Linked DNA regions of Macaca fascicularis. The protein of the gene in region 3 interacts with the protein of the main gene of each other region in a pairwise test. Links are inferred from orthologs where the notes say so. Each region holds a gene or a part of one and is shown on either strand. Other genes may lie near its edges.

The links.
Region 1: the proteins of TFCP2 (region 3) and ZCCHC12 interact in binary tests that used the Homo sapiens proteins (3 or more experiments, as listed by UniProt). The two-hybrid records come from large-scale screens. The link is inferred for Macaca fascicularis from reciprocal best matches to the Homo sapiens genes TFCP2 and ZCCHC12.
Region 2: the proteins of TFCP2 (region 3) and CDC73 interact in binary tests that used the Homo sapiens proteins (3 or more experiments, as listed by UniProt). The two-hybrid records come from large-scale screens. The link is inferred for Macaca fascicularis from reciprocal best matches to the Homo sapiens genes TFCP2 and CDC73.
Region 4: the proteins of TFCP2 (region 3) and carbonic anhydrase 1 interact in binary tests that used the Homo sapiens proteins (3 or more experiments, as listed by UniProt). The two-hybrid records come from large-scale screens. The link is inferred for Macaca fascicularis from reciprocal best matches to the Homo sapiens genes TFCP2 and CA1.
Region 5: the proteins of TFCP2 (region 3) and ZCCHC10 interact in binary tests that used the Homo sapiens proteins (3 or more experiments, as listed by UniProt). The two-hybrid records come from large-scale screens. The link is inferred for Macaca fascicularis from reciprocal best matches to the Homo sapiens genes TFCP2 and ZCCHC10.
Region 6: the proteins of TFCP2 (region 3) and PHF1 interact in binary tests that used the Homo sapiens proteins (3 or more experiments, as listed by UniProt). The two-hybrid records come from large-scale screens. The link is inferred for Macaca fascicularis from reciprocal best matches to the Homo sapiens genes TFCP2 and PHF1.

What each region holds. Positions count from the first base shown.
Region 1 is NC_088395.1:125,151,599-125,156,995, reverse strand, and holds ZCCHC12 (zinc finger CCHC domain-containing protein 12), read right to left. Parts: upstream 3,785-5,397; 5' UTR 3,601-3,784; intron 3,253-3,600; 5' UTR 3,201-3,252; intron 3,004-3,200; 5' UTR 2,880-3,003; intron 2,468-2,879; 5' UTR 2,357-2,467; coding exon 1,148-2,356; 3' UTR 614-1,147; downstream 1-613. UniProt on the Homo sapiens protein: Transcriptional coactivator in the bone morphogenetic protein (BMP)-signaling pathway. It positively modulates BMP signaling by interacting with SMAD1 and associating with CBP in the transcription complex.
Region 2 is NC_088375.1:50,859,382-50,863,472, forward strand, and holds part of CDC73 (parafibromin), read left to right. Parts: intron 1-1,342; coding exon 1,343-1,484; intron 1,485-2,289; coding exon 2,290-2,326; 3' UTR 2,327-4,091.
Region 3 is NC_088385.1:57,949,419-57,954,369, reverse strand, and holds part of TFCP2 (alpha-globin transcription factor CP2), read left to right. Parts: intron 1-1,611; coding exon 1,612-1,736; intron 1,737-2,773; coding exon 2,774-2,916; intron 2,917-4,951.
Region 4 is NC_088382.1:95,204,491-95,209,441, reverse strand, and holds part of carbonic anhydrase 1, read left to right. Parts: intron 1-30; coding exon 31-228; intron 229-1,416; coding exon 1,417-1,535; intron 1,536-4,951. UniProt on the Homo sapiens protein: Catalyzes the reversible hydration of carbon dioxide. Can hydrate cyanamide to urea.
Region 5 is NC_088380.1:139,542,487-139,548,180, reverse strand, and holds the start of ZCCHC10 (zinc finger CCHC domain-containing protein 10), read left to right. Parts: upstream 1-2,096; 5' UTR 2,097-2,108; coding exon 2,109-2,149; exon of another isoform or gene 2,150-2,153; intron 2,154-5,694.
Region 6 is NC_088378.1:138,280,494-138,286,156, reverse strand, and holds the start of PHF1 (PHD finger protein 1), read left to right. Parts: upstream 1-2,452; 5' UTR 2,453-3,314; intron 3,315-4,318; 5' UTR 4,319-4,334; coding exon 4,335-4,493; intron 4,494-4,575; coding exon 4,576-4,657; intron 4,658-4,763; coding exon 4,764-4,859; intron 4,860-4,999; exon of another isoform or gene 5,000-5,185; coding exon of another isoform or gene 5,186-5,189; intron 5,190-5,269; coding exon 5,270-5,370; intron 5,371-5,483; coding exon 5,484-5,632; intron 5,633-5,663. Other genes in the region: kinesin-like protein KIFC1, read left to right, coding at 1,743-1,787. UniProt on the Homo sapiens protein: Polycomb group (PcG) that specifically binds histone H3 trimethylated at 'Lys-36' (H3K36me3) and recruits the PRC2 complex. Involved in DNA damage response and is recruited at double-strand breaks (DSBs).

The DNA.
Region 1 (5,397 bases), on a different chromosome or scaffold from region 3:
CTCCCAAGCTAACTTGCAGTCCGTGGGGTGCTGGTGTCCTCTAGCACATAGCTTCAGAGTTTACAGGGGGAGGTTCTGCACCCTCAGGAGCTGAGCCTGCTAATGCTGAGCTCCCGTGAGTGGCTGCTCTCTTTTCCTTAATTGGGGAGGGGGCAGAAGGTGGTGTCAGCCCACAGGAGATTCCTTCTTGTGACCAGGACGTTGTCCAGAGGCAGCAACAGCAACAATGATCTAAGGAATCTGCCCAGATGAAGAACTGTCCATCCCCAAAGTGAACAGAAATGAAGCCCCTGGAATCCCCATATTGGGCTATTACCCCAGCACCAGACTCCCCCGTCCCCCGTCAGACACCTGAGTATATCAGAGAAGAAAGCACTGGTGTTTTGTCAACAAGTGGGTGTCACAATTTGACTCTCTGAGCGAAGGGACAGGTTAGTTGTGGTAAGGGGACTCTGTCCTTTTACCTTTGGGAAATATTCTCAGCCCATTTCTTATTTTTTTTTTCATCTGCAAAATGCGGTTGATTAAAAACTCCACCTCAGAGTACAACTCCCTTTAGTTTACTATATATTTTTTTACTTCTTCCTAAAATAACAGCACAGACACAATAAGGTAGATGCTGATATATATATTTATTGACATAGAAAGCAGCTCACAACATATATTGTTTGGTGAAAAAATACAGAGTATAGAACAGCACTTATATTTCATCACTTTTATCTATACATATATCTATCTGGGTACATAGGTATAGGGAAATATCTAGAAGGGCACTCATCAAAGGGTTGACCATGATTACATAAGGGTGGAAAGATTTGGGTAATTTGTACTTCACTTTTTGTACTTTTTTATTGTTCAAAGATTTAACAATAAATTATACCACTTTCACAAAAAATAAAGCTGTCAAGGAAGTGAGCACACACAGAAAACAGACCCGTAGGCTGCAGGGAGAAGGAGCAAGGACAGAGGTCAGGCTATCTCCCTCCAATGTGCTGGTATCCAAGACCCTTTCTCCTCCACCCCAAAAGATAGCCACTTTGTGGATTAATTCATGCAGTTAGAAGCCCCGCCCCCACCCCAACCCAGTTTTCCCACTACTGGATGCTGAATATAGGTAAGGGTTCACTGAAATCTGGGAGCTGGTTCCTTAGAGTGGCTCAGAGAAGTCAATGTATTCGCCAAGGGCCCCTCTTGACCTCTCCATCTCGGTATGGGTCAGCTCCTGCAGGGTGATGATCAAATTCTCAAAAACCTGGACCTTGTCACTCTCGTTGTCACAGGCTTCTTTTGAGTGACCCTCGTCACCACAATAGGAACAGCGGATTGCGTGTTTTCGCTTCCTGGCTCTACGCATCTCCCCGGGACCATTATTCTTATAGCCAGAACCACCACTGGTGGAAGGAAACTGAGCCCTAGAATTGTGGGGGGAATCAATGACCAGCACTTCATCCTGAAGTCTGGCCCTGTCTCTGAGGGGAGGGGCACCCCAGGATGGAAGTGGAGGGTCCTGAGACTCCACCAGGATCACATCCTCATCGGAGTCGTCGAGGGTATCATCTATCTCTATTACATTGCAGTCAGCACTGCCGATCACTATCGGTGGGGAGCCCTGAAACGCCACAGGGCTGACTGCCCTCTCCACCATTGACTCAGACCTTTTTGGCCGCTTCCGTTTAATAAAAGCATCATCCCAATCCTCTTCCTCCCTTACCATTCTGATTAACTCCAGAAAATCGGGAAGCCGCTCCTGCTCATTTGCATACATCCTGAGAAAATCCTTAAGTCTGAGTCGGAGGTCCCTACTCAGCTCACCGCCTAAAAGGAGCTGCTGCAAGCGAGTCCGGTTTGCATCTTTCTCAGCTATGATGCCTGCCTGAATAGCGTTCTGGAGCTGCACCTCTAAACGGATCACGTAAAGGGAGGTTTTCTCCCCTTGAGCTTGTAAGGTGTTAAAAAATTTACCATGGGCAGTCACACTGCTTTCAGACTCCCCAAACACCAATTTCATGGCTCGCAAGAAATCTGCCACACTTAGGTTAGGGTTGGTCGCCTGAAGCACACGCATGACCTCGCGGGCAGGGCCCCTAAGGGTTTTCATCAAGCGCTTGAGCTTTTCCTCCTCAGACATACTCCAATCTGGCAGGACCCCATTGACTTGGGTCAGCCAGTTTTCAAAGGTTTCTTCCCCCTGGGCTGGCACCACCCTCCCCGAGAACAACTTCATGTTTCTGTCTGCCATGCTGGCCATTATAGGACCGAGACTTCTCCCCAGGGACCTCAGCATGGAATGGGCCCAAGGCGGCAAGGGTGCGTTCTGCCGCCGGCTGTTACCGACACGTGCAATGATGCTAGCCATGACTGACGACGATAGGGTATCTGAATATAAGATGCCTAGACTTTTTAGAGAAGCTTAATCTGCAGGCGGGAGAGGAGAGGGGGTGGCTCTGCGTTCCTATCTCAGCAGGGGCTGTAAAAAAGAAAGGGGAGCTGGTTAATAAGGGAGCAGGCTGCAGCTGCATTCTCTCCCTACCTGAATATCCTGCAGTACATTTTATATTTGCCCACTACCCTAAAAATAATCCTGTAGGAGACTGGCACTTACAACCTCCCAGAGCTACCCGATGGCTGCGTGCTAGCAAGGTGCTTTTTGCAGCCACATCCATCCCTCCCACCAGTCCTCCAACAGGGAGGGCAACTGTTGCTTCAAATTCTAGGTGTAGCAGTGTCTGGAGCTGATATTGGGCTCTCCAAATAGAGTACAATGATCGCAGATTTGTGGAAATAAAATCTCATTAACCTCATGGTCTCTGGTCTCAACCACACCCCCTTCTCAAAGTGCCCCCCACCCCCGTCTCCCTCTTTATTTCTCAGATTCTTACACGAACTCTGAAACAAGAGCGCGCCTTTATTTCATTTCCAGCCTCTGCAACCAGTGCCCTCCGTGGGAAAGCTCCTCTCCGGGTACGGTCAACCTCTGTCCACAGGGGGTCGCAGATCCGGGTCCTCGAGGTTTCAAGATTGCGCCACAGCGGAGAAGGCCAGAGAAGGGAAGGGTTAGTAGCAGCTTCACCCATCATCCTGCTACCCACAACCTCCGCTGTTGCCAGGCGAAAAATTCTCTCTGCCCCCTCCTGACTATAAGCCAGAGACCAGCCCCCCACCCCCAGCATTACATCTCCCCCAGGAAGCCGTCGGCCTACCAGCTCTGCAATCAGCTGCACAGAATTGAAGTTCAGATGCGGCTTTGATGGCCTGCCACGGAGAAAGGGAATAGGAGTTGGACACACCCACCCACATATTCCTCCCAGAAAGAGATGAGTAGATGCAAAGGAGGTTCGAAGCAAACAGCTTGAGATTCCTACCCACCCCCCCGCCCCACCGCTACCCCTCGCCTCTGCCCCCCACCCCCAAATCCAGGCAAATCTTACCCAGTCCGCAGTATCCAGGTGAACCCCACCTCCTCCCTCAGCGCAGCCGGGCCAAGAGAGTACTCCTACCCCTGCCTCGCAGTCACCGATTCTCCAAGCGGGGCGCCGCCCAACACTGGTGGGTCTTCCCCCACCCCTCTCCCCGCCGGGCAATCGCACCCCCCTTCTTTACCTGTGCTCCGCTGGTGGGCAGCTGATGCTCCCGCGTCGCCAGCTGTAGATTCCGCCTTCTGGTCTCCTCCGCCCTGCAGGGGGCAAAGAATTGAAGCCTCCTTGGCCGCTAAGCGACCAGGGGCTGCCCGAAGGAGCTGCTTCGCACGGCCGCCCAACCAGGGGTAGCCGAGACGAGACAGCGCGGTTCCCAAGGCAGCCGCGGCGGCTTTTATCCTGGGCCAGCTGAGACAAAAGAGCGTGACGAGCGGGCCAGTGCGGCCAATCAGCGAAGTGCGGGGGCGGACGCCCGGCACAGCCTTGGGCAGAGGCGAGTTTTCGCCCGAGGGGGCGGGGGCGCAGCAGGCCCGCGGAGCGTCAAGTGCAGCTTGATTAGACCTATGGAGCCAATCTGCCTGTTACCCGGGAATTTGCGACTCTTTCTTCCTCCCCCAACCCTTCCCTTCTCCCTGGGCTCAACGCTACATCTTAGGCCAGGTGCATTAAACACGAACTGGGTCCAAAATCAAGTGAATAATAAAAGCTCTTCACCTTGGTATAGGAGAAAGAGGGGGAAGAGGGGAAGGGGCGGGAAGAGCATTAGCACGTGCATTGCGGAAACAGGCTTTCACAGACATCTCCTCTTTTATTGTGAAGGAAGTATCAGTATGTCCATTTAACAGAGCGGAGAGCTGGAGAACAAGGCTCTCAATCAATACCCATTCAAGTATGGGTGCAAGACATCAGAGTCATTTAGGGGAGCTTGTTAGAAATGCGTCTTCTGGCCCGGCGTGGTGGCTCACACCTGTAATCCCAGCACTTTGGGAGGCCGAGGCGGACGGATCACGAGGTCAAGAGATAGAGACCATCCTGGCCAACATGGTGAAACCCCGTCTCTACTAAAAATACAAAATATATATATATATATCAGCTGGGCATGTGGTGCGTGCCTGTAATCCCAGCTACTCGGGAGGCTGAGGCTAGAGAATCGCTCCAACCTGGGAGGCTGAAGTTGCAGTGAACCAAGATCGCACCTCTGCACTCCAGCCTGGCGACGGAGCAAGACTCCGTCTCAAAAAAAAAAAAGAAAAGAAAAAAGAAAGAAAAAAAAGAAATGTAGGCTCTGGGCCCCAATTCTGGTGAATTCAGATTTACTAGGACTAGGGGTTGGGGTGTGGTTTTATATTTAGTATTTTATTATTATTATTATTATTATACTTTAAGTTCTAAGGTACATGTGCACAACGTGCAGGTTTGTTACATATGTATACATGTGCCATGTTGGTGTGCTGCACCCATGAACTCGTCATTTACATTAGGTATATCTCCTAATGCTATCCCGCCCCCCCCAACAATAGGACCCGGTGTGTGATGATCCCCTTCCTGTGTCCAAGTGATCTCATTGTTCAATTCCCACCTGTGAGTGAGAACATGCGGTATTTGGTTTTCTGTTCTTGCCATAGCTTGCTGAGAATGATGGTTCCCAGCTGCATCCATGTCCTTACAAAGGACATGAGCTCATTCTTTTTCATGGCTGCATAGTATTCCACGGTGTATATGTGCCACATTTTCTTAATCCAGTCTGTCACTGATGGACATTTGGGTTGATTTAGTATTTTTAACCAGCCCTACGGTTGGTTCTGAGGTGTAGCGAGGTTTGTGAACAAGTAAATGAGCCTGTCTCCAATATCTGTCGAAAGGTATCTGTGGTGAAATGCAATTCCAGAGCAGATGTGCCTACCTGGAATCCATGATCTTCCTGAAATTGTATGCAAAGATTTTGGACTCTGTGTGAAGCTAAATAATGGCCACCCAAATG
Region 2 (4,091 bases), on a different chromosome or scaffold from region 3:
TACCTAGTCACCCAAGAGTTCTGATGGTGTTCAAGGAGACAAATGTTGTTTTCATGATTACTAACACATCTCTTCCTTAGCCCATAGATCAAGGAGTAATTTAGACTTTTCAGGATTTATTATTTAAGAAATAAGTTTTGTAAGGCTGTAGCTGCTATATATAGTGATTCCTCTGATGGATCAGGGAAAAGTAAATTGAAGCTTTTCTAGATAAGATTTACCATTCTAGATGCCATTAAGAACATTTGTGATTAATAGGAGGAAGTCAAAATATTAACATCACCAGAGTTTAGAAGAAGTTGATTCCTACCTTCATGGTTCGTAGATGACTTTGAGGGATTTAAGACTTCAGTGGAGGAAATAAAGATAGGGTGTGGAAATAGCAAGTGAACTAGCATTAGAAGTGGAGCTTGAAGATGTGACTGAAATGCTGCACTCTCATGCTGGAACTTGAATGGATGAGGAGTTCCTTCTTACAGATGAACAAAGAAAGTGGTTTTTTGAGATGGAATTCACTCCAGTGAGCACTTTTGTGAAAATGCTGTAAACATTGTTGAAATGACATCAAAGGATTTAGAACATGACATAAAGCATCAGAATTTGAGAGGATTAACTCCAATTTTAAAGGAAGTTCTTCTGTAAGTAAAATGCTGTCAAATATTATCACATACTTCAGAGAAATCTTTTGTGAAAGGCAGAGTCAATCAGTGCAGCAAACTTCATTGTTGTCTTACTTTCAGAAATCGCTATAGCCACCCTAACCTTCATCAACCACCACACCCTATTCAGTCAACGGCCATCAACATTGAGGCATAATCCTACACCAGCAAAAAAATTAGGACTTGCCAAAGGCTCAGATGATTGTTAGCTTTTTTTTTTTTAGCAAGAAAGTACATTTTAATTAAGGCATGTACATTGTTTTTTAGACATAATGCTATTGCACACTTAATATAGACTCTGATACGGTGTTAATGTAACTTTTATATGCAATGAGGTAGGAAATATGTGTAACTCACTGTATTATGATACTTACTTTATTGCGGTGGTCTGGAACTGAACCCACAGTATCTCCAAGGTATGGTTGCACTCTTGTATTTCTGTGATAACCTCCCACCCTTATACTCTTTTCTTATTGTCCTTCACTGGACCATGTGTATTTTATCTTACCTTATTCCTCATTTTAGTCTCCAGTGGCTGGCATGTATAAACCCTGAATGTTTTTAAAGATAATATTTTAAAAGATCACTTTAGTTATAATGTGGCTTCAGTTGATAGAAGAAAGTTTTTTTTTTTTTTTAATTTTGAATAAAAAAATGATTACTTCTCTCCACCCCCTCTGTAGTTAAAGCCTTCCATCTGAAGTATGATGAAGTTCGTCTGGATCCAAATGTTCAGAAATGGGATGTAACAGTGTTAGAACTCAGCTATCACAAACGTCATTTGGATAGACCAGTGTTCTTACGATTTTGGGAAACGTTGGACAGGTAATTCTGATTCTAAAATATGCTTATGTGTGTTTTATTGTAATTTTTCTGTCTTAGTTAAATTTTAAGTTGCATAAATTTGTCAGTCTTGTTCTCTAATTCCCTTCTTTTAACATTAACTTGATGCTTATCTGTAGTAAATAACAATTTTTTTTTGTATAATTACTTTAGATGGAGAGTTTAATATAGCCTGATAGAAGTAACACTAAACTGAGTCAGAACTTAGACTTTAGTCTTGGTTTTGTAATCTGTCTCTAATTATCTGTGTGATCTTTTTGAACCTTATTTCCTATCCAAGGAACTTTTGATTAAGAGAACCCTATGTTTTTTTGCAAGTACTGAAAGATCTCTGATTCTGGATTTATGTTATGGATGGTTCACAAAAGGAAATGAATTTTTAAAATTTATTTTAATTATTACTGTAGTGTTCATAAAACCCTTTACATTAATAAAAGTTTTGTAATTGGCAAATTTAAGAACAGCGTATGATGACAGTAAATACCACTGAATCGGTTCTCTTTGAAGTATGCTCCTTAAAAGTCTGTAACATTCTTGGTGCGAGTCTCTCACAATATATGTGAAACATATATATTATTTTAGCTAGAAGCTCTTAGATTATATTACTTAATAAGAGGAGTGTTATTTCTAGCTTTTTCCAGAAGTCCTTATATTTCCAGTTTTCTAGAAAACAGCATTTTATTCTGTTGATTTTAAGTTTTAAGAAATGTCAGCCTGTTTTTACATACATTAATCTAAAAATTCTAAAATTCCTATAGTCATTATAACCTACCATATTTTTTTTCAGGTACATGGTAAAGCATAAATCCCACTTGAGATTCTGAATTATTTGGCTCCTCCATTTCTGGAAATTGAGACTCAAGCTTTATGAATTTATCAAGAACTTAAAAATGAAGAAGGTCACAGATTGATCTTTTATAAGACCTTATTTGATGCTTTGTGCTTCAAGGAGATGATGCCTGTCATCCATATAAGCAAACTTTTTGGCTTACAACTATTTTTTTAATATTAGCCTTCTAGTCTGTAATGGAAATTGTATATTTTGATAGAAGTTTTTTCTCCATTGGTTAAATTAGCATTACTTAAAATTTGTTTTAGAAAATAAATGCAGGTTATAAATGTGTGTATATTTAGAGATTATAAAAGGCTCTCTGAGCCATCTTCTGATTTTTCATTGCTCTATAATTCTTTTTACTAAAAATACTATGTTGTGAATGGTATTAAATTTTAGTCTCTGGAACATCCAAAACCAAGCAAAGGGATGTGACTATTTTGAATGAATCAAAATGTCAAAACCTGTATGTACACTATATCTACACTTACTCTTTATTTAAAAAGAATGATGAAAAATCAAGAACAATTCTTCAATTTGAACTGTTCAGCCTTTCCAAGATTTCTTTATTTACAAATGATTACATTTAAATGAATGTACATTCTTCTCACTGACTTTGGTGATTTTGAAACCTAGAATGATGTGTTTCTATCTGTGATATCTTTCCATTTGAAAAAAAATCTCAAAACACAGATTAAAACCACAATAGGCTGTAGTATTTTTTATTTTGGGAGCCAGAGTATGATTTGGGGAAAGAATATGTATCAACCCTGTTGCAGTATAACTTTAAGCTACTTTTCTCTTTAGTCCACCTTTGATTCTAATTTTTATGGTATAGGATTTTGAATCTTCTATTTTAGGCTTGTCAGTCTTGGAGTTGTTATCTTCCACTATCCCTAAATATTGATAAACTCCCAGGCACCAAAGAAAACATTTGCTTAATTGTCTGAAAAGAAACAAGAGAAAAACACTGGTATTTTTATGTGTGTATTCAATATGGTGTAAAATATGAAAACTATATTTTAACTTAGTAAAATATTTTTTACTAACAAAATGTTGCATCCAAGGTACATCAAGTGACCATTTTCCTTGAACCTTGATTTCAATTTTTTTTTTAACTTAAAAGCAACTAGGAAGCTTTGCTTTCCTAAACTGTTTTTGCCATTGGAATTTTTGCTGATCACAGTCTTATGTCATTTTTTTTCTCTGTTTTTATTTCCAGCAGTTTTCTCCAAGGTTAACATATGTTTGGTAAACAGGCCTTTCATAGGTATTAAGCTGACATTATCTAGCTTCTTAATGAAATTTAACACTGTCACAAAAATGGGAAGTTACTATTTTTTTAAGTAGTCACATAGTTCATACCACTAGTAACTAGAAAAGATATTTATTCACATGGTATTTACAAGGCTCTTCAGAAGAGAACAGTCAGCATTTTAAATTACTAGATTTTAGCATACTTACAAGGTTTGAACAGATTCTACCCCTATTTTCCTACCTTCTTAGCATCTTCTTTCCTTAAAGATAAAAGAAAAATTTGTTCACATTAGGCTTTCTTAGCATATAAATCTGTTTCCAAAATAAATTACATGTTGTGTAAACTTTCTCCATGATGAAATAGTCAAGGACCAGAATCTGTGATATTTTTATGTAAGATTACTTGTCAAGACTACTACAAGTCAATATGAACTACCTTCCCATAAAGATTTTTGGTATTTGTACTTATTTATGAACTTTACTGGATACGGAATATGGTT
Region 3 (4,951 bases):
CTTGTGATCCGCCCGTCTCGGCCTCCCAAAGTGCTGGGATTACAGGCATGAGCCACCGGGCCAGGCAAACGTGGGTAGTAATTACTTAAGTGTCTCCCTGCAGTTGTTAAAATACATGGTAATTTTTGGTCCTCTTTTGGGATTTACAATTTTAAATAGGTAGTAGTAACACTGATGAAAAAAGCATTTAGGTCAATGGCAACAGAACCAAATCAGTGACTGCATAGTAAAACAGATTGTGCAGTATTTATTTTTGGTTTGCTTTTGTTTTGGGTTTTCTTTCTTGAGACAGGGTCTTGCTCTGTCACCCAGCTTGGAGTGCAGCAATGCAATCATGGCTCGCTGCAGTCTCGATTTCCTGGGCTCAAGCCATCCTCCTATCTAGATGGCTGAGCAGCTGGGACTACAGGTGCGCACCACCATGCCCGCCTAATTTTGTACTTTTTGTAGAGGCGGAGTTTTGCCATGTTCCCCTGGCTGGTCTCAAACTCCTGAGCTCAAGCAATCCTTCCGACTCACCTTCCTAAAGTGCTGGGATTACAGGTGTGAGCCACCGTGCCTGGTCATATTTGTTTTTGTCTACATCATAAGGGATGTTGAAGCTTGGAAAATTTTAAGGAAAGAAAGGAAATCAGGGATTGATGACTTGGGGAAAAATAATTGATCTTTAATTTTATTTATTTATTTTTTTGAGACGGAGTCTTGCTCTGTCGCCCAGGCTGGGGTGCAGTGGCCGGATCTCAGCTCACTGCAAGCTCCGGGTTTATGCCATTCTCTTGCCTCAGCCTCCCCAGTAGCTGGGACTACAGGCGCCCGCTACCTCACCCGGCTACTTTTTTGTATTTTTTAGTAGAGAGGGGTTTCACCGTGTTAGCCAGGATGGTCTCGATCTCCTGACCTCGCGATCCGCCCATCTCGGCCTCCCAAAGTGCTGAGATTACAGGCTTGAGCCACCGTGCCCGGCCGATCTTTCATTTTTTAAAGCATATTATCTAAAGAATGTTTAGAAATTGGAAGGATTCAGAGGATCAGATCAAGAGGTAGTTGAATACCTTTCTCTAAGAAGAGCAGAAAAAGGATTTAGGCTAGTTAGGAGAAGATAATGAGAGAAATAAGATGATCTAGTTTACTGTGTTGGTATTTTTTAGTAAGAAGTATATCTTGAACCTGACCCAAAAAGACATAAGGCTTTTATATTTTGACTATGTCTAACTTTTACACCAAAGGCCACAAACTCAAATGACTATAGAGGACATACAGGTAATGTAAATGAATGGCAGTCAAGACTGGGGTATAGTGAAGAATATATGCATTATGTAAGAACAGCTGATTGTTTTCATGTGAGAATGCAGGCCTAAGATTGCTAGATATTCAGGAAAAGCCAAAAGTTCAGAGCTTTATGTGATGTCTCATATTGGAACTAATTCCACTTAAGGAAAAAAAACCCTTACCACTGGGGAACTAATAAAACATAGCAAATTAATTGCATTTGGCCAGTGAGCTTCCAGTTTTCATCTGCTCTATATGATTAATGTAGAAACACAATTTCTCCCTTTTTATTGTGCTTACCATAAAGAATGTAAGACTAATTAGCCTTTTTCCTCCCCTTAGGATGGTGCGTCCAAGGTTAACCATTTATGTTTGTCAGGAGTCACTGCAGTTGAGGGAGCAGCAACAACAGCAGCAGCAACAGCAGCAGAAGCAGGAGGATGGAGACTCAAATGGCACTTTCTTCGGTAGGTTGTTCTGGACACACCAGGACAGATAGGAAGAAAGGTGAAGAGGTAACTTATGGGCATGTATGATGGGAAGCTATCAAACAGCAGATTTAGCGTTTGCTAGAAGTAACAATAATCACTAGCATTTATTGAGCTCCTAATATATGGCAGGTGCTATTTTTTTTTTTTTTTTTTGAGACGGAGTCTCGCTCTGTCACCCAGGCTGGAGTGAGTGGTGCGATCTCGGCTCACTGCAAGCTCCGCCTCCTGGGTTCACGCCATTCTCCTGCCTCAGCCTCCCAAGTAGCTGGGACTACAGGCGCGCGCCACTTCGCCCGGCTAGTTTTTTGTATTTTTAGTAGAGACGGGGTTTCACTGGGTTAGCCAGAATGGTCTCGATCTCCTGACCTCGTGATCTGCCCGCCTCGGCCTCCCAAAGTGCTAGGATTACAGGCTTGAGCCACCACGCCCGGCCTTTTTTTTTTTTTTGAGACAGAGTCTCACTCGGTTACCCAGGCTGAAGTACTGTGGTGCAATCATGACTCATTGCAAACTTGACCACCTGGGCTCAAGTGATTCTCTCCCGTCAGCCTCCCGAGTAACTAGAACTATAGGTGTGCACCCCACGTCTACCTAATTGTTTTATTTATTGTAGAGATGGGATCTTCCTATGTTGCCCAGGCTGGTCTTGAACTCCTGGGCTCAAGTGATCTCCCTGCCTCAGCCTCCCAAATTGCTGGGACTATAGGTGTGAACCACCATGCCCATCCAGGTGCTATTCTTAACACTTTTTATATGCTTTAATATTTACAACTAATATCTCCTCTTTGTGGAGGATTTTACTGTTATCTCTAGTATTTACACGAGAAAAATGAGGCCTAGGGATGTTAAATAACGTGCCCTAGGTCACACAGCTGCAAGTGGTTGAGCCAGGGTTTGAGCTTAGGCAGTCTGATTTCTGAGTCCTTCAGAAAAGTGGACATTCCTAGTGATCAAGTTATGTGTAAGAGCAGACAAACTTTGTACTGACTCCTGTTGCTCTCTCCCTTTTGCAGTTTACCATGCCATCTATCTAGAAGAACTGACAGCTGTTGAATTGACAGAAAAAATTGCTCAGCTTTTCAGCATTTCCCCTTGCCAGATCAGCCAGATTTACAAGCAGGGGCCAACAGGAATTCATGTGCTCATCAGTGATGAGGTAGATTTTTCAGTACAGTTGAATTACCAGATGATGCTTAATTTGTCAGCACATGGAGCAAGAGCAGTTCTCCTGGGGCAGAGTGTTCTGTTTTCTAGATCAGAGGGTTTCATACTTTTTTGCTTGCTTTCCTCCTAATTTTTTTTTTAAACAGTCTCTCTCTGTTGCCCAGGCCAGAGTGCAATGGCCCAATCTCAGCTCACTGTAACCTCCACTTCCTGGGTTCAAGTGATTCTCCTCCCTCAGCCTCCGGAATAGTGGGAATTATAGGCGCGTGCCACCACGCCCGGCTAATTTATGTATTTTTGTAGAGACGGGGTTTTGCCATGTTGGCCAGGCTGGTCTCAAACTCCTGACCTCAAGTGATCTGCCCGCCTCACCCTCCCAAAGTGGTGGGATTACAGATGTGAGCCACCACGCCCCACCCTGAAATATTTTAAAAACCACATATTCCCATGCACATTTTTAGGCTGACTTAAAATTTTTTGTTAAAGTTTAAATAGTTGTAAAAGATGTCATTTCTGGGCATATATAATGACATTTCTAAGTGAAATGGTTACATCATTATTCTAATTGCATCCCATGTAATCTTAATGCAAAAATGATTTAATACCACCACCATCCATTAAAAAAAAACAAAACACGACTGTGCTTTCCTTTAAGTTAGAATTCTTGTACTATTCCTGTTTCCTGGAACTCCTTTTTTCATTTACTTCCCCCATTGAATTTTATCTTACTGTAACTTTTTTTTTTTTGACACAGAGTCTCACTTTGTCACCCAGGCTGTTGTGCCGTGGTGTGATCTCAGCTCACTGCAACCTCTGCCTCCGAGGTTCAAACGATTATCCTGCCTCAGCCTCCCAAGTAGCTGGTATTACAGGCGCCCACCACCATGCCCGGCTAATTTTTGTATTTTTAGTAGAGGCTGAAACGTTTCACCATGTGGCCAGTCTGGTCTTGAACTCCTGGCCTCAAGTGATCAACCCGCCTCAGCCTGCCAAAGTGCTGGGATTACAGATGTGAGCCACCACGCCTGGCCATCTTACCGTAACATATTTTTATGCACAAACATCTTTTATTGATTATCCTACTATATTTGTTTGAAACAAAGTTTTTAAATAAAAATTTAAAAATTATGAATGGAATCATCATAATTATACAATTGATTAAAATAATGTAAATATGCTACATGTTTTAATAAGTAATTATTAAACATTAAGAGGGCCGGCCAGGTGCAGTGACTTATGCCTGTAATCCCAGCACTTTGGGAGGCTGAGACAGGTGGATCACAAGGTCAGAAGTTCAAGACCAGCCTAGCCAAGATGGTGAAACCCCATCTCTACTAAAAATACAAAAATTAGCTGGGCATGGTGGCAGGTGCCTATAATCCCAGCTACTTGGGAGGCTGAGGCAGAGAATTGCTTGAACCCGAGAGGCAGAGGTTGCAGTCAGCCGAGATTGTGCCACCACACTCTATCCTGGGTGACAGAGCGAGACTCCATCCAAAAAAAAAAAAGGCCAGGCGCAGTGGCTCATACCTGTAATCCCAGCACTTTGGGAGGCCGAGGCAGGCGGATCACCTGAGGTCGAGAGTTTGAAACCAGACTGGCCAACATGGAGAAACCCCATCTCTACTAAAAATACAAAATTAGTTGGGTGTGGTGGCACGTGCTTGTAATCCCAGCTACCCAGGAGGCTGAGGCAGGAGGATCCCTTGAACCCAGGAGGTGGAGGTTGTGGTGAGCCGAGATGGGGCCATTGCACTCCAGCCTGGGCAACAAGAGTGAAACTCCGTCTCAGAAAAAAAAAAAAAAAAAAAAATTAAGAATAATATTATTACAGGTATATCTATGAATGAGTTGGATGAAATTGTTTCAATCCCTAGTCGTACCTTTGCACATAATTATTTCCTTTGTAGGTGAATACTGCCTATTGATTGCTAGAATGACATAGGATTTCAGCATCAATTCCATTCTGTTTTTCACCTCTAGATATTATTGCTGAGGGACTTGAGTCACATAAATTGATAGATAGG
Region 4 (4,951 bases), on a different chromosome or scaffold from region 3:
TTGATTTTACACATGTGTTTGTCCTTGTAGGTCCTGAACAATGGAGCAAGCTATATCCCATTGCCAATGGAAATAACCAGTCCCCTGTTGATATTAAAACCAGTGAAGCCAAACATGACACCTCTCTGAAACCTATTAGTGTCTCCTACAACCCAGCCACAGCCAAAGAAATTATCAATGTGGGACATTCCTTCCATGTAAATTTTGAGGACAACGATAACCGATCAGGTGAGCTGAAAGACCCTGCTGATATTTTTTTTCTTACAGTCTACTGGGGAAGTTTAAAAAATAGTACTCGAGAAACATGACACCCATTCTAAGTCTTTTGTGCTTGTGTGTAGCGTTACTGTAATCTAGTGAGGCATCTTGGACTTCTGGAAAATGCCCAGGTGGTAAAGACAATTTTTGGAATTCCCAGCTCTGTATTTTCAGTCTTTCTTCTCAAAGTCACCATCACATCTCTTCTGGTCATTCTGGTATCTGTGTGCTCACTTCACTCTCTCTGAATAAACAGTATTTATCCAGAAAGGTCTAGTGAACCAGTCATTACAAATATAACAACTGAAAAGAAAAATATTTTCTAATTGGGATGAAGATGAATGAGCACAGTAGAAAAGAAAAACAAAACAGTGACTGAATTATCCTTATACTCCAGAATCTGGAACAAATTTTGCTACAGAGTTAGCTTTTCATGAAGGTTTATTGAATATTTTATTAAATGACAATTCCATAAAACAGTTCTACTGATTTAAAATGCTAAACTTGTTTGCGAGCTTCTGAAGCCTAAATTTTAAGTACTTTGGGGCTATGTCCATTATTAATATTAGATTAGGTCTGGTATGATGTGCATTTAGCTAATATTATCATTGGATAGGCTCTCCAAACAAAGTTTTAAAAGTGTCCCACTGCCCCACTGGTACTCTCTCTTGGTCCTTGGCCAGGGATTCTCAACAAAGCTGTCAATATACACTGTTGTGTCTTCATCAGTTGCAGAGTAGGTGATGAATGGTTCATTACTCAAAATAAACTACTAAAGATTTTTGATGCATATTGTCTATGTTGAAAGAATGAAGGAATAAATTTGCAAATAAAAGGAGATTCAAGGACAGCCCTGTAATGATATAATTCACTCACCTTGCAATATGCCTTCTAGGAGTTGGAAATAGGTAAAATTATAGCTCGTGTGCTGGGAAATGTATATAACTCATGGAATATCTCATCAATGCCACAGTCAGGTGTGTACCATACATATGACTGTCATCCTCATAGATGTGGGGTAAAACAAGATGAAAGTGTAGGCACTAATGTTTGTTTTCACTTCTAGTCAACACAATTTAGTGTTGGTTTGTATTAAATGCAAAGATAAGCTAGAGTTTGCGGAGCATCAGACTAACAATCGGTTCCCTTTTCTTCCAGTGCTGAAAGGTGGTCCTTTCTCCGACAGCTATAGGCTCTTTCAGTTCCATTTTCACTGGGGCAGTTCAAATGAGTATGGTTCTGAACATACAGTGGATGGAGTGAAATATTCTAGCGAGGTAATGTAATTTAGTAAGTGAGAGATAATTACCCTGAGAGTACTCCCAGAAGCAGTTTCTCCCTTCTCTCCTAAAACAACATCATAACGACTCCAAAGGAATGAGTATTCCACTAATGAACTCCCAGGTTCCATTAAAATCAAGCACAGACACATAACGTTTGGCAAGAGAGTGAAATGTTTCATGTGGAAAGAGGCAGCTAAACTCCTAAGCCCAAGATTCACCTTTCCCTGAGAATGCCTCAAAAACTGTTACCTTAATATCATGGCTAGCTTCAAAGGGTGACACTGCTCTCCTTTAAAGCTCTAACCTCAAATGGAACACACAACCATTTCCTCTTTATTTAAATGTTCAAGTTTGGACACACCAGCAGTATGGTTGTGACCAAGCTGGGACAATTCAATGAGACTCTACTATCAGCTCGAATTTAACCATAGCAATGGTCACAGAGAACAGCATACACCTAGATGAGGGTCTGAGCTTCCCTGGCTCTTAAACTGCTCTCACATGGAATTTGTGACTTATTTCAGGACATTATTACCTGTATATCCAAAGAAAAATTGAAGACATGTACACCAAACTGTCAATAGAGGGTCCGGGAGATTAAAATGGGAGAAATTTTGCTCTTTACTTTAGATGTGTGAATTATATAATACATGTGTACCCATACACGCAGGTTGACTCTTTAATTTTGCTTTCATCAAAGTGAATTCTATAATATACATAATTTTGCAACCTGCTTTTTTCTATTTACCCATTTATCACGATAATTTTTAAAAATCAGAAGAATGGGCCAGGTGCGGTGGCTCAAGCCTGTAATCCCAGCACTTTGGGAGGCCGAGGCGGGCGGATCACGAGGTCAGGAGATCGAGACCATCCTGGCTAACACTGTGAAACCCCGTCTCTACTAAAAATACAAAAAGAAATTAGCCGGGCGTGGTGGCGGGCGCCTGTAGTCCCAGCTACTCGGGAGGCTGAGGCAGGAGAATGGCGTGAACCCGGGAGGCGGAGCTTGCAGTGAGCCGAGATCGCGCCACTGCACTCCAGTCTGGGCGACAGAGCGAGACTCCGTCTCAAAAAAAAAAAAAAAAAAAAAAAAAAAAAAAAAAAAAAAAGAATGAATTTCACCTCACTTTTTTACTTTCTGTATAGTATTTCATTTGGGTGAATACATCATAATTTATTTAACTGCCTTCTATTGATGAACAATCACAACATATGATTTTTGTTTAATTGGTTTCTTTTCCTTTTATTAAAAAATGCTTCAGTAAATATATCTGTACATATATATTGTGCACTAATGAAAGTAATTATGTAGGATAGATTTTTACAGGGCAGATTGCCAAGTTACAAAGTATATGTATCTTTTATTCTGATAGAATATCAGTGATTGTGTACAAATAAAACTTGCTTTACCTTGTGTTGTAAAGCACGACTAACACCTTTCAATGCTGCGAGAATCTGTTAATTGGATTTTCCCCTCCATAAAATTGAAGATAGATTAAAATTAAATGGACTAACAGCCTAAATTAGTATTATCTTTTTGGAAAGACAGTTGGTAGTATCCAAGAAAACTAAATTAGTGACTCTCTCACCTAAATTGAGAAAAATCAATATAACCCATGCTAGATATGAGAGACACTTAGCCACAAAGTTTAGCATGTGATTAAATTCAATTCAATAAACCTTCTTGGGATAGCTATAAGACACTAGATTTGAGAGACAGGGCAGCCTGTTGCCTAAGAATGCAAGTACCCAGCTGACTGCCAGGGTTTGAATCAAAGCTCAACCACTTACTAGCTGTACAACTTCAAACGAATCACTCTATGCTCCAATATTCCTATATAGCAAATCTAGATAATATAACATTAGTATCCATCTCAATGATTGTTAACAGCATGAAAAGAGTAAACCCATACAGAGCACACTTAGACCAGCACCTTTCATGTTGCATGTGCTGAATAATGTTACTTAACATTTCCATAGAGACACAAGCAAGCCCTTTTCAAGCAGGGAAGTGTAGGCATAAATTATTGTGATTAAATAAATATAGTAGTAAATGGCAGTATGACTATTCACAAAGAAGCACAGGAATACAGATGTAAGAATAATTAATTACAAGTAGGGACAGAATCTAGACTGGCATGGTCAGAGGAAATTGCAATAAGTGATCTCTCTGAATATACTGTCTTAATCATTCTTTTTTCATTCAACAAATATTCATTGAACACCTACAATATGCCAGATACTCTCTTTATTTATTTTTGGTTTGTATTTATTTATTTATTTTTGAGAAAGAGTCTTGCTCTCTCACCCAGGCTGGAGTCCAGAGGTGCAATCTCGGCTCACTGTAACCTCCTTCTCTCAGGTTCAAGTGATTCTCCTGTCTTGGCCTCCTGAGTAGCTGGGATTACAAGCATGTGCCACCATACCTGGCTAATTTTGTATTTTTAGTAGAAACGGAGTTTCACCACGTTGGTCAGGCTGATCTCGAACTCCTGACCTCGTGATCCACCCTCCTCGGCCTCCCAAAGTGCTGAAATTACAGGCGTGAGATACTGTTTTTAAAAAGTACTTGTGATCAGAACTTATTTGATAGGGAAAATAAAAATTTCAGAGGAAGGAAGGGAAGAAGGAAGGGAGGGAGGGAGGGAGAAGAATAGGAAGAAGAGAGATTAAATAAGCGATATGGATAGAATTGTTTTGATTTGTGGTGGTTACTTTATGTTGGATGATCAGAAAAGAATTGTTTAAGGAGTGGCATTTGAGTTCAACCCTAACTCAAGACAAAAGTCTGCCACTTGAAGATCATGGGGAAGGAAATTCCAGAGAATATTAGAAGCTAATGCAAAGACTCAAAGTTGTGATGAAGTATAATCTGTAAGATGTGAATGTTGATAGGTGGGGAAAGTAAGAAATGAATGATAATTGTTGTACTTATTGATTCAGCAATTAAAAAACCTTATCCTAGGAAGGTAAATTTAAGCAGGTTTGGCAAGAAGGAAATCTAGAGTTCTATTTTGGCCAGATTAAGTTTGAAACATCTATTAGACATCCATGTAGAGATATCAAGAATACATACATACATACTTGGATATACAAATCTAGAGTTTGCAGAGACATTAAACTGGAGATATTTGAGAGGCGTCTCAAAAGGGCACTAATGTGCTTGAAAGAATCCGTTCTTGGCCGAGACTCCCAGATACTCAAGGAACCCTTTCTCACGAATTTACTACAAAGTACCTCATGTGAGAGAAAATTACTACAATCATTTTCCCAAAAACTAGTTAGTCATGTTTCCTGATCCTTTCATAACAAAGAGAGATACATTTAAAGGACTAATATTAAATAACAATATTGTAGGAAAGGACATTTTGCTTACTGGTTCCAGGTTTTGCAATCTCTACTTGGCACAC
Region 5 (5,694 bases), on a different chromosome or scaffold from region 3:
GCCCAGAATGGCCATTCTCAAATCCCCTTGCATAGCCACTCTTCTTTACAAAATGAGTGGTCACCCTGCTCCCCTAGTTATCCAAGTTAGTTTTCTTTTTCTTCTTCTTTTTTTTTTTTTTGAGGCGGAGTCTCGCTCTGTCGCCCAGGCTGCAGTGCAGTGGCGTGATCTCTGCTCACTGCAAGCTCTGCCTCCCGGGTTCATTCCATTCTCCTGCCTCAGCCTCCCGAGTAGCTGGGACTACAGGCGCCCGCCACCACGCCCGGCTAATTTTTTGTATTTTTTTAGTAGAGACGGGGTTTCACTGTGTTAGCCAGGATGGTCTCGATCTCCTGACCTCGTGATCCGCCCGTCTCGGCCTCCCAAAGTGCTGGGATTACAGGGTTGAGCCACCGCGCCCGGCCTCTTTTTTTTTTTTTTTTTTTTTTTTTTTGAGACGGAGTTTCACTCTTGTTGCCCAGGCTGGAGTGCAATGGTGCGATCTCGGCTCACTGCAACCTCCGCCTCCCGAGTTCAAGTGATTCTCTTGCCTCAGCCTCCCGAGTAGCTGGGATTACAGGAATGCAACACCATGCCCGGCTAATTTCTTTGTATTTTTAATAGAGACGGGGTTTCTCCATGTTGGTCAAGCTGGTCTGGAACTCCCAACCTCAGGTGATCCACCCGTCTCGGCCTCCAAAAGTGCTGGGATTACAGGCATGAGCCGCTGCGCCTGGCCGGGAAACATTTTCATAAATACACTGATGAATGAAAAAAGCAAGCTAGAAAACACAACACGTAAGAGCCCAAGATTTTTGAAGAACAAGTTGTGCTCAAAGGTCACATCATCACTCTCCCTAACTCCTAATCACTCTTTAATCCCTTACTCTGAGATATTTTTCGTTAAGAGTACTTATCCCATGGGAATAGTTTTCATTCATGGTGTGTAGAAAGTTCCATGTGTACACGGATTTTATTTGTTCAAATGCTCTGTCCTCAGCTCCTAAAACATTTTAAGTGTTAATTATTAATTGAAAACATATGGCTGGGCGCGATGGCTCAAGCCTGTAACCCCAACACTTTAGGAGGCTGAGGCGGGCGGATTATGAGGTCAGGAGATCGAGAAAATCCTGGCCAACATGGTGAAACCTCGTCCCTAGTAAAAACACAAAAATTAGCTGGGCATAGTGGTGTGTGCCTGTGATCCCAGTTACTCGGGAGGCTGAGGCAAGAGAATCTCTTGAACCAGGGACCTGGAGGTTGCACTGAGCCAAGGTGGCGCCACTGCACTCCAGCCTGGCGACACAGCGAGACTCTGTCTCAAATGGAAAAAAAAAAAAAGGAAAAAATATGGATGACCCGGAAACACACACACACATACACTTCAGAAAGTTATATATATTTCAGAGAACGTGTTTTAAGAGAATAATAGCTCCGTGAGCTGACATTAGATGTAGGTGCAGCTAAAATATTGTAAAATATTTGTATAGTCCTTTTCTGCTTGACAAAGCAGCTTTACACAGTCCCATTTAGTACTTGTAACAACCCTGTGAAATACATACAAAACAGAAATAACGTGTATGTTTGCACTCTATGGCTTGCTAAAGTCATTCTTTCAATTGCTGGTCAACTAATTCCTTTCTATTCTCCAGACTACTTCTAAGTTTCTGAACACCACAGTTTCATTCTTTGTCTTTGTATGTGTATCCCTCGTTCGAGAATGTGGTCCTCATTTTCCACAGATAATGTTCTTGCCTGTAATCATCCTTTGAAACCCGGTTCCGCCAGAGAACCCGAGACCCACACTGGAGACACCGGCCCCTCCCGATCCACCAGCCCCTCCCCTCCCCTCCTCTTCCGACCCTCCATCCCCTCCCTTCCCCTCCCCTCCATCCCCTCCCTTCCCCTCCTTCCCCTCCCTCCCCTCCCTCCCCTCCCCTCCCTCCCCTCCCTCCCCTCCCTCCCCTCCCTCCCCTCCCGAGCCGGCACTGAGATCCTGCCGCGGAGGCTGCCCCAGAACCCCTAGAGGCCTGTCTGGCCTCGCCTACGTCTACGGCCTGCCGGTTGGAAGCCCCGCCCTTCCGAGGAGTTTCCCAAAACCCTGCGCGGCCGGCTTTGACCGCGCTAAGATGGCGACTCCCATGCATCGGCTCATAGCTCGGAGGCAAGCGTAAGTAAGGATCCGGTTCGGGCCCACCGGCGGGCTGGGAGCGGTGAAACGCGCGTCAACGGGCTAGTGTCGGACCCCTGTTGGGACCGGCGGAGAATGTCTGTTTCTCAAACACGCTTCTGGCTCCCGAGGGGCTCGGGCCCGAGCGATAAGTCTGGTGACCGTGGGTTAGCGATTTCACGGAAGACAGCCGTGTAAAGTCTGCGGCACGGGACAGAGCGGGGTTTGAAGACAACTGTCGCGTTTGGTTTCTCTGAAGGGAACGCCCACAGTTGGTCACTCAGTGATTTATGCCCCTCCGCCAACCCCACGCGTCGACAAGGGAGCCCTGAAGCCCCGGTCCGACACCTTTATGCCGGCCGACGTAAACCTTCAGTTTCCTATTTAGCGTCCATCCCTGCTGCCTTTTCCTACTTCCTTATTCTAGCGCCTTCCCTAGGAATCCTGCCTACAATGCCGACTGCCCTCCCAAGCTATCTTATCACTTTTTGGTACTCATTCTTTCAATAAATATTAATTTATCTAGTACCTACCGTTCTGTGCCAGACATTGGGTATAAAGAAAAAGAGGTGTTTTTTAGGACAAAAATCCTTGCTTTCAGAGAGCTTACATTCTAGTGATGGAAACAGTCGATAAACTACTAAATGTAAATACAGCTGGTGATAACAGCTTTGAAGGAAACAAACTGTTGTGATGGAAAGAGAGAAAGGCCCACTTTAGGTTGGTTGGACTGAAAAGGCATCTCTGAAGAGGTGGAATTTGAACAGAGATTTAAAGGGTGAAAAATTAACAGTCATAAGAGGATTTGGAGAAAGAGCATCCGGATAGTGGCATAATTGCTTTGAGGCTGAAACTTACTTTTTAAAGAACTGAAAGATGGCCATTACGCCTAATGAATAAGAGAGAGTGGCAGAAGAGATTCACACCTGACAAATAATGCAAGGGTCACCCCAGATGCCCTTTCTTATAAAGCTTTTGCACAGCCTTTGCACATCCAAACATCTGCCTCTTTTTCATAAAATATTTCATGCCATCTCCATTTTCATGTCCATATATAGCTCAAAGTCTGCTAGTATATATATGTGTATTTATATCTTTTTATATATTTTTAATTCAAATAATCCCTTTTTTTCTCTTTTCCTTTCCATCTACACTTTCAGGCCTGATAAGAAGAGTTCCTCAAATGTACAGACAGACTTAGGGAGTTAGAGTAGTAAGCTTGGTGAAGAAAGAAGGCTTGAAGTCAGACGGTTCTTTTTTTGAGACCGAGTCTCACTCTGTTGCCCAGGCTGGAATGCAGTGGTGTGATCTTGGCTCACTGCAACCTCTGCCTCCCTGGTTCAAATGATTATCCTGCCTCAGCCTCCCGAGTAGCTGGAACTACAGGTGCCCACCACTATGCCCTGCTAATTTTTGTATTTTTAGTAGAGACGGGGTTTCACTATGTTGGTCAGGCTGGTCTCGAACTCCTTATCTCAAGTGATCCCACCTTAGCCGCCCAAAGTGCCGGGATTACAGGCATGAGCCACTGTGCCTACCATTAAGTCAGACAATTCTGAGATCAAAAATGGGATGATAATACTTAAAGGGAGTGCTAAATGATGTCACCAGGTTCCGTTTCTCCCTGTCTGTCTCTCACACTTGCTCTTTGGTTGTTGGCTCCATATTTGAATAGGCTCTATTCTTTGCTCCCAAGATGGCTGCAGTATCCAGGGTCCTTTATATTCTCTCAGCTTCAAGTTGATTGTACTTCTTTGGTCTAGATTGGATTACATGCCCAATGTTAAACTATGCCTGTGGGATTGTGAATATCTGATTGATTTAGAGATCTTATTCTCCTTTCAGTACAACTGAATGGATGACCATAAGCCAATGATAACCAGGGTAGATAGGTCAGAGGAGGTAAATGAATGCAGGATTGGCAAAACTAATGTCCACTTTAAATATGAAGTGAAAATAAGACTTAGCATCTGAATAATACTGCTATTTATTGTTTCAGAAGTATCAAAAGTTAAATGTTTTATATCTACAATGTGTCTGTATTTGGTACATGAGTTACATGATTTGTAAAAGACAAATCTTACCTTTAAGGAGCTTTTGGTCCTGTTGGGAAGCAAACATGTGGCATACTGTAAAAACCGTTGTGGTATACTGCCCCACGTTGGGCGCCACGTATCCCGGCCCACGGGATAGTCAGAGCAGTCCCTGGAGGAGGGGGTGGGAATTTGGGGAACAAGAGACAGGAGAAATGGAGACAAGACAGTGCTCTGATCAAGTCTCGTTTAATGGTGGTAATGCAATGCCTTATATACATTTGGAGGGGAAGGGGTTGGGCTAAGGCGGAAATGACCTCATTGCGGAAGGTGTGGCCAGATAGGCTTCGGTTTCTCCGGTCGGACGTCATGTTGCGCCTGCGCAGTCAGGTAGTCTTTTCGCGGGTGTGGGAAAAATGAATGAAGAAGAAGCAGGAAGAGCGCCATCTTTTAATGGCGGTATTAATACAGGGAAGAAGGTAAATCTAGGGAGAAGGTGTGGGGTGGAAATGAATATAGCTCAGGCGTTTAATCTTTAATTATTATTCGCTATGGCCGGGGCGTGCAGCTCCGGACAGACTTACACAGAGTGTAAGTCTCCAAGGGATTCAGCAAAGGAGGGCCTTTAGAGGCTTGCGAAGTCCAAGAGAGTTTGGGGAATGTATTTGGGGGGAAAGCAGGAGAGGAGCCTTTACTTTTCATTTTATATTCATCAAAAAGGTTTAATTTTATTTACAAGGAGCATATATTACTTCTATAACAACAAATTTAAAATAGTTTTTAAGTTAGTAATGAGAAGTGAGAAAGTACTATCATCATTTTTTTTTTTTTTTTTTTTGAGATGGAGTTTCGCTGTTGTTGCCCAGGCTGGAGTGCAGTGGCACAATCTTGGCTCACCACAACCTCCACCTCCCAGGTTCAAGTGATTCTCCTGCCTCAGCCTCCTTTAGCTGGGATTACAGGCATGTGCCACCCGCCTGACTAATTTTGTATTTTTGGTAGAGACGGGGTTTCTCCATGTTGGTCAGGCTGGTCTCGAACTCCTAACCTCAGGTAATCTGCCTGCTTCAGCCTCCCAAAGTGCTGGGATTACAGGCGTGAGCCACCGCGCCTGGCCTTATCGTTCTTAAAAAAAAAAAAAAAAAAAAAAAAGATCTTTGGACTAATAGAAGAAAACGGGGAAAAAAGCCTAAATACAAACTCCTCATTGAGTAGCTCTTTCAGAGACTTAACTAGTCAGTCTACTAAATCAATTGGAATGAAATTATTTTTACCTTGTAAACTGTACTTACATATACCCATATTAAGTAAACTATGGAATCTAGGCAACATTTGGGGTCATTTCTTCTATTAAACCTTATATGAGATTCCACTACTTCCTCTTCAACATCCAGAGTCATTATCAAACTTGGCTTGAAGATTTCCAGTAATGTGTACTACCTCCTGACGTGGCCTGTTGTGTTTTTCAAATCTATCTAAAAGTTTATGTTGAGCTGAAAAGAAATAATATTT
Region 6 (5,663 bases), on a different chromosome or scaffold from region 3:
CTCCTGAGCGTATAGCCCTTTAATGGGCTCTGGCTTTATTTGAGGTCTGATCAGGTCTGTCCTGCTGTGCGCTTGGGCCTCCTCCCAATCAGCACTGATTGTTGCTGTAGCCAGCACCTGCACCCTGATCTGGTATTCTAAGTTCAATTTTAGAGGGTGGTGATGTTTTTTCTAATTTTTATTAATGTTATACCAATGTAACATCCAACAACATGAACTTTAATATCCTCTAATACCCAGTTTATGTTAAATTTCACCCAACTGTCTCAGAAGTGTCTTTTATACCTAATAGGTTTGTTCAAATCAGGATCCAGGCAAGGGCCACCCACTTGATTGAAATGTCTCAAGTTCCACAACCCTACCCCACACTGCCACTATTATGTCATTTGTTTGTTGAAGGTCATTTGTCCTATCGAATATACTATTCTGGATTTTGGCTGATTGCTTCCTCTTTCCCCCGTACTTTCACTTATTTATCATATTTGGGTGGTGTTAGCGTGATCTATCCATTTAAAAGCTCCTTACTGACTTTTTCACCTAGTGATTTTACCCATCAGTGACCATACCTGGATCCATTATTTCATTAAGGGGTTTTTAAATGGCGATTTTTCTAATCTTAGTTGTTCTGCATTGGTTAGTCATAATTTTTTTATGAAGACATTTGCCTTGCCATCTACTTGGTTTCTCTGAAATTCAGTTCATACAGGAAAAACAAGATAAATGCTGAATTATTTATTGATTTTCAGTATTGAGTTGATACCCTAGCAGCTTCCAAAGGTGACCAATGAATGTTTATCTGAGGGTTATCTTTATTTTTATCTTTATTTTTTTGAGACAGAGACGCTCTGTTGCCTAGACTGGAATTCAATGGCTCAATCATAGCTCACTGTAGCCACCAAAAGTGTTGGGATTACAGGCGTGAGCCACCCAGCCCAGCCACAGTCGTTCCTCTTTCTGATGCTCAAATTGCCCCATTTTGGGCCAATAGGAACCTCCTGGCCGGGTGCGGTGGCTCACGCCTGTAATCCCAACACTTTGGGAGGCCGAGGCGGGTGGATCACGAGCTCAGGAGATGGAGACCATCCTGGCGAACACGGTGAAACCCTGTCTCTACTAAAAATACAAAAAATTAGCCAGGTATGGTGGAGGGCGCCTGTAGTCCCAGCTACTCAGGAGTCTGAGGCAGGAGAATGGCATGAACCTGGGAGGCGGAGCTTGCAGTGAGCATCGAGATCGAGCCACTGCACTCCAGCCTGTGTGACAAAGCAAGACTGTCTCAAAAAAAAAAAAAAAGAACCTCCTTCAGGTTGGCGCCAGTGTCCTTTAGACAGAACTCAAGCAGTCTTTTCAGATTCAACTTGTACATTTCCTCCCCAGATTTCAACTGATCCATTTTCTAAGGAGTCCTAGTTCCTAAATGGGTGTTATTACTCTTTTATCTCGGTTTAAGTATTTTACAGTGAGAGAGGTTGGAGGTCTCTAGTACAGGGTATTGCTGGAAATGAAAGCCTCCTCTCTCTGCTCCTGTATTTTCTTCTGGGGCTTCTATCTCTTCTCAGGCCTTTTAACCTCCTCCAAACCGTGTGCAGAGGAGAACCAACCATAACTGGGACCAGCCTGAACCTGCCTTTGGAGGCCTTATTTCAGTATTTCTGAGGGCAGCCCTAGCATTGGAGGATGGAAGGAGATCTTGGGGAAAATGTATTGGTTACTCTGCAAACTTTTATCCTGTCTACCCCCAGGTGAACCAGTGTGTTATTGGTACTGCCCAGGCCAACAGGAAGTGAAGACGGATCCAGATCTTGTGTTGGGAGTGTGTGTGTGTGTCTGTATCTGTATGTGTATGTATTGGGTGAGGAGTGGGAGGGTTGCTGGAGGGTGCTTTATTGGGTAGAGGGCACCATGTCCCAGGGCTATCAAATAAAGAATAGTTTTTTTTTTTTTTTTAAATAAAGGTTTATCTGCCCAAGAAGGCAGATATTTTCATATCTGTAAAGGTGGGAGCTGTGATCTGTCCCCTCTGCCAAACGTTTGTGTGGGAGGCGGGAGCGGGGGCTGAGGGCTTGGGCTTTTCCTCTCCTTAGCTCTCACCGGTTCTGGACCATGGTCTGGATCATTTTCCCCTCTGCTAATACCCCCTCCCCCGTCCCTCACATCAGGGAGGCGTGCCCTCTAGCTATCCACACCCTCTCCTTGGTCACTAGTTATCTAGATAAGTTTCACCCTTCCGCCGGCCACCCCAGCCCCAGGGAGCAACGTTCCTTTGGTGGGTGTCGGCAAATGGGGACCGGACCCCGGAGTCCAGAGGCGGGGCTAGCGCGCGCTCCCAAACTGCTGGCTCTTTCCTCCCGCCCTTTCCCTGCCTTTCCGTTCGAACGGCTGGGGCTCTGCCCGCTCGTTGCCCATTGGCTGGCTCTCGGTGGCGTCACCGCCTCGGGTCCTTGCCCCCTTCGTCTTTGCGCCAGCCCTGGAAGCACGGGGCGGGACGTACCCGGGAAGCGGCGCGCACGCCCGCCGACTCCCTCTCGCCAACCGCCGACGGCCGCCGCCCCGTGAAGGAGGAGCTCAGTCCTCCCAGGTGCCGCGCGCAGGAGGGGACACGCGTGCGCAAAAGGGCGGCGGGTGGGGCGCGACTTGCCACGGGGAGGGCGGGGCTGGGGCTAACGGCGAGTGGAGGGCGGGGCGCGCGAGGGAGGAGGGCGTGGTGGGGGCATCGAGAAGGGTGAATGGAGGGCGGGGCCGTGAACTGGGGCCGGGGGGCGGGACTTGGAGTGACCATGGGGGGTGGGGCAGTTAACGGATGTGGCATGGGGCGGGGGACCAGTCCGGAGGCGCGCTGCCGGGAGGGGGGATTCCCTCGTGCCCCAAGGGCGAGTCTCAGGTCGGAGGAAGGGGCTGAGGGGATTCCCTCTCCCACCGGGTCCGACTGTTTGCTTCCCAAGCCGTGGAGGGCCTGCCTCTTCCTCGGCACCCTCCAGGCCTGTCGGAGGTGAGGGAGGTGGGGTGAGGTGGTGCCCGCCCCCCCCTCCGGCTCCTCCTTCCCCCCAGTCCTCCCCTCCCACCACCCTCCCCCCCAACCGGTCCGTCCCTCCCCTCCCTCCCCCCCGCCGCCTCCTCCTCCTGCCGCTGCTGCTGCTTTGGCTGCTGCGTCATACGCCCCAGAGCCGCCGGGACGGAGGGGCTGGGCCTGGGGACCCCCCGGCCTCCGCCTGCACAACCCCCCCACGCCCGGACGTGCCCTCTCCGCGCGGGGGACTCGCCTAGGTCTCCTACGTCTGCCCCTGCCCGGCTCCTGGCGGCCCCAGCTGTCACCGGTAAGGAGGCGGCAGGAGGCGCCGGTGGGGGGCAGGGAGCCGGGGGTCGGCGCGGGGCGCGGGCGGGAGAGCCTCGCCGCCTTGGCCTCGGGTCCGAGCTGGGCCGACTCAAGTCCCTTCTCGGACTTGCGGTCCTGGGGAGTGGAGACCAGGACTGGGACACGCCCCCCTCCCGGGGCACTCGGAGAAGTTGTCTAACCCGGGGGCAGGGAGCCCCGAATTTGAGGGTGACCTGACATAACCTGGCACCAGGATGATTGTTCTTAATGAGACACGCAGGCCTGGGGAGACAGCCGTTTCTGCTCTGGAAAACATCTCCAGAAAAGGTCCCAAAACACATCTCTGGGCAACAGGACACCCTAATTATGATACCTCTAAACTGAGTGGTAGCCTTTGCTTCTACAACCGTAATTTCTCCTAAAATTTCAAGGCCAGGATATAATATCCCAGGAGAGCTCTGGAAGCTGGGAAACTAGCAACTAGGTTTGGGGTTGGGGGGAGGGCAGTTACCGTGAGGAGAGCCAGTCACTAGAGTTGAAAGAGGACTCAAGAAGCTGGTGATGGGTGCCTGGTGGTTTCCTATCCAGGTGTCTCAGGGATTTGGAGATGGGGGCACAGATCCTTCATTCTTGACGGCAAAATAGGCAAAGAAAATGGGGAAGTTGGCCGGGCGCGGTGGCTCACGCCTGTAATCCCAACACTTTGGGAAGCTGAGGTGGGTGGATCATGAGGTCAGGAGTTCGAGACCAGTTTGGCCAACATGGCCAACACCCCCTCTCTACTAAAAATACAAAAAATAGCCAGGCGTGGTGGTGGGTAGACCTTTAATCCCACCTACTTGGGAGGCTGAGGCAGGAGAATTGCCTGAACCCAGGAGGTGATGGTTGCAGTGAGCCAAGATTGTCCAGCCTGGGCGACAGAGCAAAACTCCATCTCAGAAAAAAAAAATGGGGAAGCTTTCTGAGCATTCATAACCTTCTCCTCCCCATTTCTTTTCTGGCTAGGCCCCCCCAGGATGCAATGGCGCAGCCCCCCCGGCTGAGCCGCTCTGGTACCTCCTCACTTTGGGACCCAGCTTCTCCTGCTCCCACCTCTGGCCCCAGGCCTCGACTTTGGGAGGGTCAAGATGTGCTGGCCAGATGGACTGATGGGCTGCTATACTTGGGTACCATCAAAAAGGTAAGACCTACTTCTGATCTTTTTCCTATTTCCCTTATCTAATTCTGGTTCCCATTTCATTCTCTTTGCTCACCCATTCCAGGTGGACAGTGCTAGAGAGGTGTGTCTGGTCCAGTTTGAGGATGATTCGCAGTTTCTGGTTCTATGGAAAGACATTAGCCCTGGTAAGACTAGAGACCTGAGATTGCACATCCCATGGAAAACAAACCTGGCTTAGAGGGGCAGAAAGAGACTTAAGGGCAGGCCCCGTGACACTGTGTTCTCTCACAGCTGCCCTCCCTGGGGAGGAACTCCTCTGTTGTGTCTGTCGCTCTGAGACTGTGGTCCCTGGGAACCGGCTGGTCAGCTGTGAGAAGTGTCGCCATGGTGAGAGGGCAGGTCACCTGAATGGTCTAGCTTGCTCTTCCCTCCAGGATGGTCCTTATGTCACCTGTCGTGGCCTTAGTCCCCAAGCCACTGCTCTGGCCAGGCTGCTTAGCCCTATCTTAGTCCTCATCCCCTTTCAGCCCAGGGAGAAGCAGCCATGGAAAGGGGTGGTGTAACCTTTGCAAGCAGAGGATGATTTAACTGCATCCTTTTCTAACCATATGACCTTGGACAAGTCCCTTAACCTCTAGGAGCCTCAGTTCCCTGACTCGTAAAATAAGGATCATGTACCCTCTCATCAAGAACATGGTCAAGGATTAAATGAGATGGGTAAAGACTATTCCTGTCCCAATACCAAGCACACACAGGTATGCAATTAGTGGTCTACTATTAACATTATCACTCTTCAGCTTATCACCAGGACTGCCATGTTCCCAGGGCCCCAGCCCCTGGAGAGGGAGAGGGCACATCCTGGGTATGCCGCCAGTGTGTCTTTGCGATCGCCACCAAGGTAAAGGCACTTCCCTGTTACCCCTTCCTGTGAGAGCCTCCCATCCACATCCTCTCCCAAGCCTTTTCCTCTCCCCACCCCTCTGAAGTCATCCACCTGTCCTGTCTCTGCAGAGGGGAGGTGCCCTGAAGAAGGGCCCCTATGCCCGGGCCATGCTGGGTATGAAGCTCTCTCTGCCATATGGACTGAAGGGGCTGGACTGGGATGCTGGACATCTGAGCAACCGACAGCAGAGTTACTGTTACTGTGGTGGCCCTGGGGAGTGAGTAATGAGGGGGAGCAGACTGTGGAAT